Linked DNA regions of Oryctolagus cuniculus. The protein of the gene in region 1 binds, or shares a complex with, the protein of each later gene. Links are inferred from orthologs where the notes say so. Each region holds a gene or a part of one and is shown on either strand. Other genes may lie near its edges.

The links. Proteins that work in one complex are often made in the same cells at the same time.
Region 2: MED4 (region 1) and MED7 share a complex: the UniProt entries of both Homo sapiens proteins name them as parts of the mediator complex. The link is inferred for Oryctolagus cuniculus from reciprocal best matches to the Homo sapiens genes MED4 and MED7.

The regions. Positions count from the first base shown.
Region 1 is NC_091440.1:67,125,629-67,129,615, forward strand, and holds the start of MED4 (mediator of RNA polymerase II transcription subunit 4), read right to left. Parts: upstream 2,835-3,987; 5' UTR 2,754-2,834; coding exon 2,629-2,753; intron 1-2,628. UniProt on the Homo sapiens protein: Component of the Mediator complex, a coactivator involved in the regulated transcription of nearly all RNA polymerase II-dependent genes.
Region 2 is NC_091437.1:44,110,590-44,114,622, forward strand, and holds the start of MED7 (mediator of RNA polymerase II transcription subunit 7), read right to left. Parts: upstream 2,741-4,033; coding exon 2,039-2,740; 3' UTR 2,034-2,038; intron 1-2,033. UniProt on the Homo sapiens protein: Component of the Mediator complex, a coactivator involved in the regulated transcription of nearly all RNA polymerase II-dependent genes.

The sequences.
Region 1 (3,987 bases):
CCCGGTTGCCCCTCTTCCAGGCCAGCTCTCTGCTATGGCCAGGGAGTGCAGTGGAGGATGGCCCAGGTGCTTGGGCCCTGCACCCCATGGGAGACCAGGAAAAGCACCTGGCTCCTGGCTCCTGCCAGGATCAGCGCGGTGCGCCGGCTGCAGCGGCGGCCATTGGAGGGTGAACCAACGGCAAAGGAAGACCTTTCTCTCTCTGTCTCTCTCTCACTGTCCACTCTGCCTGTCAAAAAAAAAATAAAAAAAAAAATAAAAAAAAAAAAATAAAAAAAAAACAGCAGTGGCTAGGCAGCTTTTATGTTGGTAACTTGGAGCTGAGCAACTACAAACAGTGAGAACTCAACAGGAACTAAATGAGCATTCAGTTAGCTGTCTCACAGATGATGTCACACAGAACAGACACGTGAATAATTTAACTGAAACATCATACTAAATACCTTGCTAGTGTGTTTTTTTTGTTAACTAAGAAATAATGTGGATGTTGATGTTAAGAGGATTGGCTAATGAGGGAACTGACAAGTTTTCCACCATAAACTACTAAACCAGCGAAGATGGACATGCTCCGTCTGTAAACACTTGGAGGCAAAGCCTGGACAGCTGCCTGGTGCCTGTGAGTTTGTTTCCTGTACTGAGCAATGGCTGACCGAAAATTCCAGGTGCCCTGTTTGTGATCCTACTACAATGTAAACAGTGGATGAAGCTTATAAGCCATTTACCTTCTGTTGTCTGCGTGTTTTTAGGTTTTCATTACATCACTAAATGTTGTACTTAACATTGGTAAGTAATGGTACAGCAAGGGCTAAATTCACAGCAAAGACAAAGTACTGATCTTGAGTGTAAGCAGATCGGCATTTGCTGTCACAGAATGCTGGCTACGGAAATGGTGACATTTGAGACAGATGCTGAAAGACAACTCAATCATTCAGCCAGCTAGAGATAGAGTAGGAATGGCACTGACGAAGTACAGCTGGCGGTGACATGGGAAGTAGTCAGGCATCCCTCAAATGCACGGTGAGGTGACTGTACTTACACAAACCCAGACAGGAGCGGCCACCTGCTGTGGCCTGACGCAATCAACAGTTCCCAGCAAAAACAAGGTATAGGAGGCTGCTCCCAGCAGAATGTGGCACTTTGCTTAACAGTTAAATTTTAAGTAATAGGAGGAATAAACTCTAAATAACAATGAAAAGTATTGCACAGTAAATACATAAATCAGTAACAGTCATTTATTATCAAGAATTATGGACGGGGGCTGGCATCATGGCATAGCCAGTGAAGCCACCACTGGCATCCCATATGAGCTCCGGGTTCAAGTCCCAGATACCCCTCCTATCTAGTTTCCTGCTAATGTGCCGAGAGAGCAGCGAAAGACAGCCCAAGTACTGTGTTCCTGCCACCCAGGCAGGAGACCCCGGCAGAGTTCCAGGCTCCATGCTTTGGCCTGGCCTAGCCCTGGTCTTTGCAGCCATCTGGGGAGTGAACCAGTGGATGGAAAAGCTCGCTCCCGTTCTCTCCCTCTCTCTGTAACTCTGCCTTTCAAATAAGTAACCTTAAAGAAAAGGAATGAGGGGCTGTGTGTAACTGTATGTGCTACACTTTCACGCCCCCGGCAGCAGGTGGGCCCATTCACACCAGCGTCACCACAAACACGAGCACAGAGGGCAACAAGGCCACGAGGCTGCAGGCATTTTTCAGCTCCATTATAATCCTAAGGGACCACCACAGCATAATCATATATCTGGTCTTTCCTTGACAGAAACCCGACACTGGGCCTGACTCTGCTTATACGGGCTATCGAGTATTTTTTAAGAAGAATGATGCGAGATGCTTTTTAAAATAACGATGGTGCTCAGCAGTATAAAATGACAAAGTATATCAAGTACAAAAGAAAGTAGAAACTTTTGGCAGGCTGCAAAAACAACACAACTTAGATCCAGGTTAACCACAGAAGACAGGAAGGCCCCGACTTGAAAGACGACCGTGAAAACTGAGAGCCTGCAGAACAAGATCCCATCCCGTCTCCCATGCTGCTCTGCGGCCATCCCCAGCACCTTACAACTCCGCCAGGGCCTGGGGCCTCCGACTTCCAAGGTTTGCACACACTATGTCACCTCCCTGCCACCTGCTGAGTCCGATGAATTCATTCTTTCCAACCAAAGCCTGCCCTGACTACACTCCCGGGCCCGCAACGCACTGCTCGGACAAGAACGAGCCCCGCACCAGCACTGTTTACCCACCTGTCTCTCCCTGACCCCGGGCTCCTCCGCGTCGGCACCCAGCCTCCCCTTCACGACAGTCTCCTAGTGCTTGGCGCCCAAGGGGCAGCCCATTAGTGCCAGTCTCCCAACGCGAGACCTCTTAAGGTTCGCTCTGGCTCTTGCCGTCTTGGACTTCCAGGGTGGCTGTCATGACTAAAATTCTCTCTGACGGCAAAGAAAAAAGTGTTGCCCAGAGTCCCAGAGATCTGCAGACCCCATATCCTTAACACTCAAGCACCGGGGACTCCCAAGCTCAGGCCTCCCCGCCGAGACCCAGGAATGAGCGCAGAGGGCCGGCGGCGGCGGGCTCCGGGGCCAGTCCCCCAGCCCAGCCCCAGCCAGGCTCTCAGGCCGGCGCCATTACCTCGACAAGACCTCCAGATCTTCAAGCGCAGATAACAACCGCTCTCTCGTGCTGTTACCGCCTGCCGCTCCAGAGCTGCCTCCCAGCCGTTCCTTCTCCTTCTCACCACTCGAAGACGCCGCCATGCTCCCCAGGGCCAGGAACCAGCGCAGGCGCACCTCCGCGCTAGTGGGAGAAGAGGCGGGCTCGGGAAGCGGAAGGAAGGGTCACCGAGACGTAGGGAAGAGCGGTACCGCCAGAGCGCCGCCTAGGCGACTGGAGGCGCACTATGGGCGTTAGCGCCATCTGCTGGACCAGCCGGGCTTCTCCATTACATACCCAGGGAGCGCCCAAGGAGTGAGACTGGAGGGGGCGATTCAGTCCGATTCTTCTGGGCCTTCTGGTTTTTCAAGCAGCAATGGAAGGCTTCTCCCAAACGGTTTTTGAGCATTTCAGGGAGTTACCTACTTGCCTACCTGTTATGTCCGTTTCTTCATAAACTCGACTGGTGTCTCCCCAGGATTGTCTCTGCAGTCTGCATTCCCATGATGCTGTTCTAACCTTCCTGTTGCATGGCTCTTGGAAGCTGCAGTAAGCTTTTCAGCACAGGAACCAAAACCATTTGTGATCCTATTTTTTTTCATTGTAGCAAAATACACAAAACGTAAAAGTCACGGTTTTAGCTATTTCAGTGTGTAGTTCAGTGACGTTAAATATGTTCACACTATTGTGCATCTAGAAAACTCTTTTTAATGATGGGGGAACTAGGCATGAAGATTAGGTAGAAAGAGTTGAGCTGGAATAGTTTCTCAGAATTTCTGCATAACCCTGCATGGCAACTCCTCCCCCTTACCTGTCAACCCAGTGTGCCCCCTTTCCCATGATGCACCTGCCTCATCAGGGATCAGGAAGGAAGGGAACCATAATGACCACGTGGAAGGTAAGTTGCTAGCCAAGGCACCATGAAACTGCCTCACACTGAACTCCATGCTGTTTGCATACTTATCAGAGCACCACCCAGTACCTCACAAAAGGGACTGATAAATGTGGAAACACTCCTTTTTTGCTTTTTTGGCTTCAGGAGCATACTTACGGTCCTTCTCTGGTCTCCTTGCCCTCTCTCTCCTCCTAGGCAACTCTGGCCCACTCATGACAAGCATCTCTCCATGCAGGGATGCCCACACTCACACGAGAATGTATATTCACTCTTTCAATAAATCGTCTTCTCCCTCGTGCTCTGTATGTATTGCTCTGTTTTGAATTCTTACCTCTGCAGGGACAAAAACTTGGAATAAAAGTTGAGATTGGCATGCCTGCAACATTCACACCTCATAAAACAAATCTAGCTTCATTCCTCCCCACGCCCCAGGGAGTCCCTAG
Region 2 (4,033 bases), on another chromosome or scaffold:
CCACTATAATATCAAGAGTTACATCAGGTGCAACTGCACAGAACTCCTTGATTAGCTCTGGGCTAAAGTGAAGCTAACCTATGGCATTGCAATCCATCAATACCTCTCCCCTCAATGCGCACACACACACACACACACACACACAAATTTACAAGTAACTGTTGTGACTCTTAACAATGTTAAATGATTTCATTTCTTACATGCAAGGATTTTCAAAGTGGTCCCAAATTGGTTTTGTACCTCAGCCCAACACTCCTCTCACAGCAATGTATTTTTTAAAAAGTCAAAAGAGAAACGGTTGTTGAGTTGTTCAAGAGCCATTTCCATCTTGCTCACTGACCAAGGTATGAGGGAGGAGGTGTGGAACAAATTTAATTTAATTAAGGGAAACCAGAATGTCCTTTGGGGGTCTCTGGTCCCAAGGTCTACACCAAGCATATTCCAGTTGGTAAAAAAAAAAAAAAAAAAAAAAAAACCTTAAATTTGAGACTTGTTAATTAGTTCTTGTCTGCTAGAAGTGTTAATTGGAAACAGCCTCTGTCTGAATGCAAAGAATGCATATTTCACACAGGGAAATTGGCCTGTAACCATTTTACAGTGAGTTGGTGAGACCTTAATGCAGCAAATCCCTATGCTAGTAAACAGGAAATGAGGGAGAAATCAAAAGCACATCACCCAGGAAAAGGCCCATCTCTACAGATGGTAATCTTGAGCATGCATCAGAATTGGAGGAAGGCTTAACACCAAGCTTGCCACGCCCTGTGCACCAGCAAGTTTCTGGTTCAGAAGGTCCAGGGTGGAGCCAGAGGAGCTTGATTTCTAACAAATCCCCAAGTGATGCTAATGCTGCTGGTCCAAAAGGACAATGGAGAACCACTGGCTTCTGTCAGAGAGTAGCAGGCAAAGATCCTGATATGAGGCCAATGGGCGGGAGGGGGAAGGAGGGAGGAGAAAAGAAAGTACAGAAATAAAATCTCAGTACCCAAGACAGTTTATTTCTTGTTCACATTAAGTTAGCTGTAGAAGGAAGAATGGAGTTAAAAGAGGACCTAATCTTCACATTCTAGAACCAAATTACTATAAACTGTTGTCACCAGGCTTGCATGGGTGTGGGCACACACCTAGCCGACTGGGGAACAGAATGGAAGATCGTGCAAGAAATCTTAGGGCACAGACTCCATTTCCCAGAACTTAGTCACATGGCCTCACACAGATATAGGGCAGTAGGGAAATGTGGTCACTGGCTGAACAGTGATATCTCAGCAAGAAGAAGCGCGAATCACTGGTGGACATCGAGCAGTTGCTCCCACCAAACCCTTCTCCCACTGCAGTCTACCAGCCTTGATCATGTCTGAGCTTAGCTTTAAAAATGTGTAATTTCAAAGAATTACAAATATTTTTAAAAATCTGTAATTTCAATCCTCTTAATTACTAAAATCTGTAATCTAAAATTTCTAACTAAGCTGACCAAAGACTTTCTACCCAAGTGACTGAGAAAAACCAATTTATGGGACCTACCAAGGTTCAAGATAAGGAAAAAGAGTCTACTGAGGTAGTAGAGTTACAAGAATCACAAGGAAAAATAAAGTTTTTGTTTCATAACAAATGGGTCTCTTTTAAAATGCTATACTACCTTATGCAGATTAGGTAAATTTTTAAATATTACATAATTTCACATTTTAGAGTATCTATCCCTCATTCTTAAAGCAAATGACAAATTTACTTTTTAAGGATGAAAGTTTGCTATTACCAAGGACACTGTCAAACTTTTACTCCAACTCCAAAAAAAAGAATGCCCCACACATCTGCAGCAAACATTTTCTTTTTCAGGTCACTATTCTTAATTTACGGGTCCCTGTTTGCCTACACTTGTTATATACTGAAATTGCTGCCTATGGCATTACGTAAGTGAAAAAGCTGGAGAGTCAAGAAAAAGGCCATTTAAACTTTTAGTTATTCATTTTAAGACTGCCCAAAAGAAAATAAACCAGTAATATTATACTATTTACCAAAAGGGAAAAAAGAAAACTAACATGAGTCACGGTCTTTCATTCATTTCATCAATTAGGACACACAAGGCAGCATCTTTTTCTATAATCTGGTCCCTTCGATGACCTGAATTTTCTCTTTGCTGCTCACTCTGTCCAGTACAATTGTTGCTATCATCAGCATCCATTGGTTCAGTTTTTACTTTTATTCCTGCTTCTGAGTGGGGTAAATCATCAGGCAAAGAGGCCAAGCAATTCTGAATCATCTCAATCACTCGCTCCAGATGCTTCTGAAACCTCTCGGCTGTTTCAAGCCTCTGTCGTTTCTGGACTTCCATCATAACTCTCAAGGTCTCTCTTGCTTGGTGGGGTCTGTATTCATTTATGAGATGATGCACATGGACAAAAAGCAGCTTAAGATCTTCCAGCTTCTCTTCTCGTTTTATACTCCCAGGGCTCCTTATCAAGATATCTAAAAGGTCCAAGAAATTAATAAGGATAGACATATTGAGTTTCCTCAGTTCTTTCTTGTGATCAAATTGCATAGGATGAAGCCTTTCGATGCCCTGACTTTCCAAAGGGCGGATAATAAGATCATCACATTGGAACTGGTTGCCAAACATCATATAACTGTCTTTGATTGGAGGGGGTGGCTTGGGAGCTAGACCTTCCTGAATATTTTCATCAGTGTATTCCTTGATGTACTGCATAGGAGGTGGAGGAAGTGCACTCACTTGCTGTGGCTCACCCATTGTGGAAGATCAAGCACCTACAAAAACAAACCAAAGATTCACAGAAGAACTACAAAACAAACCTGTCACATTTAGTGTTTACAGACAGAGCACTCCCCTTTTCTTCCGGTAGTTTCAAAGCTAACACTTACAACTCAGAATGGATGCCACCCTTTTCTAATTAAGCACTATATTCTCAACAACCCACATTATTTTTCCTTCCCTGTTAATACTTCTCTCCCAATATCTTGGAGTACCTTTTCATTTATAAAGAAAAGTCTTCTGGATTCTACACCACTTACCTTTTATGTCCCATTTCTCCACATCTCTTTATAGCAAAACTACACATGCTGTCGCCCAAACACATATCACAATCACTTTTTTTTTTAGAAGGTAGATGATTTTAAGATTTACTTTATTGATTTGAAAGGCAGAGTTACAGAGAGAGAAGGAGAAACAGAGATATCTTCCATCTGCCTTTTCATTCCCCAAATAGCTGCTAAGGACTGGGGCTGGGCCGGGGCCATGTAGAATCCAGGAACTTCATCCGGATCTCCTTTGTGAGTGATATGGGTCCAGGCACTTGGGCCATCTTCCACTGCCTTCTCAGGCATATGAGAGGAAGCCAGATAAAATTGGAACAACCAGGACTTAAACCAGTGCCCATATGGGATACTGGTGTTGCAGGGAGCCATTTAACCTGCTGCGCCACAATGCCAGCCCCTACAATCACTTTTACTATTACGAAGTGATTTCCCAAAGTAAATACTTATAACTCAAACATTTTGACAAAATTAACATTACTAAAATCTAGATACCCAGTATCATCCAAGGCTCCTAGATGAAATGATTATCCAAGTCTGTATCTTTTTTCTACATTTTATGCTACAATTTACTAACCTTTCTGTATCTACTATAGAAACTTGAAACCCAAATTCAAACCCACAGCTTCTATGGCCACAATCACTTCTACTTACTCCTTTTTAAACATAGGTATTATCATCCAATCTGAAGATTCTCAAGTGCTCTTTTAAACCGATCTGAACAGTTTTAAGACACACCCCTCCGACGTCAGGAGGCGGCAAGTACCCGTGTGCCTCTGCGGATGCGCACCCCTCGACTTCAGCTGGCATCTTTCCAGGGTCAACTCCCTAAGAGGCATCACTGTCTCACATCCTCTCCACATCATCTTCCTGCCAAAGCTATGACCTAAGTACACGATCAATTCTATTCTTCGGATGAGGATCCCAAGTCTTAAGGGCACGTGTCTGCAGATCGCATAACTACTAACGGCACAACAGCAATTCCTACCCC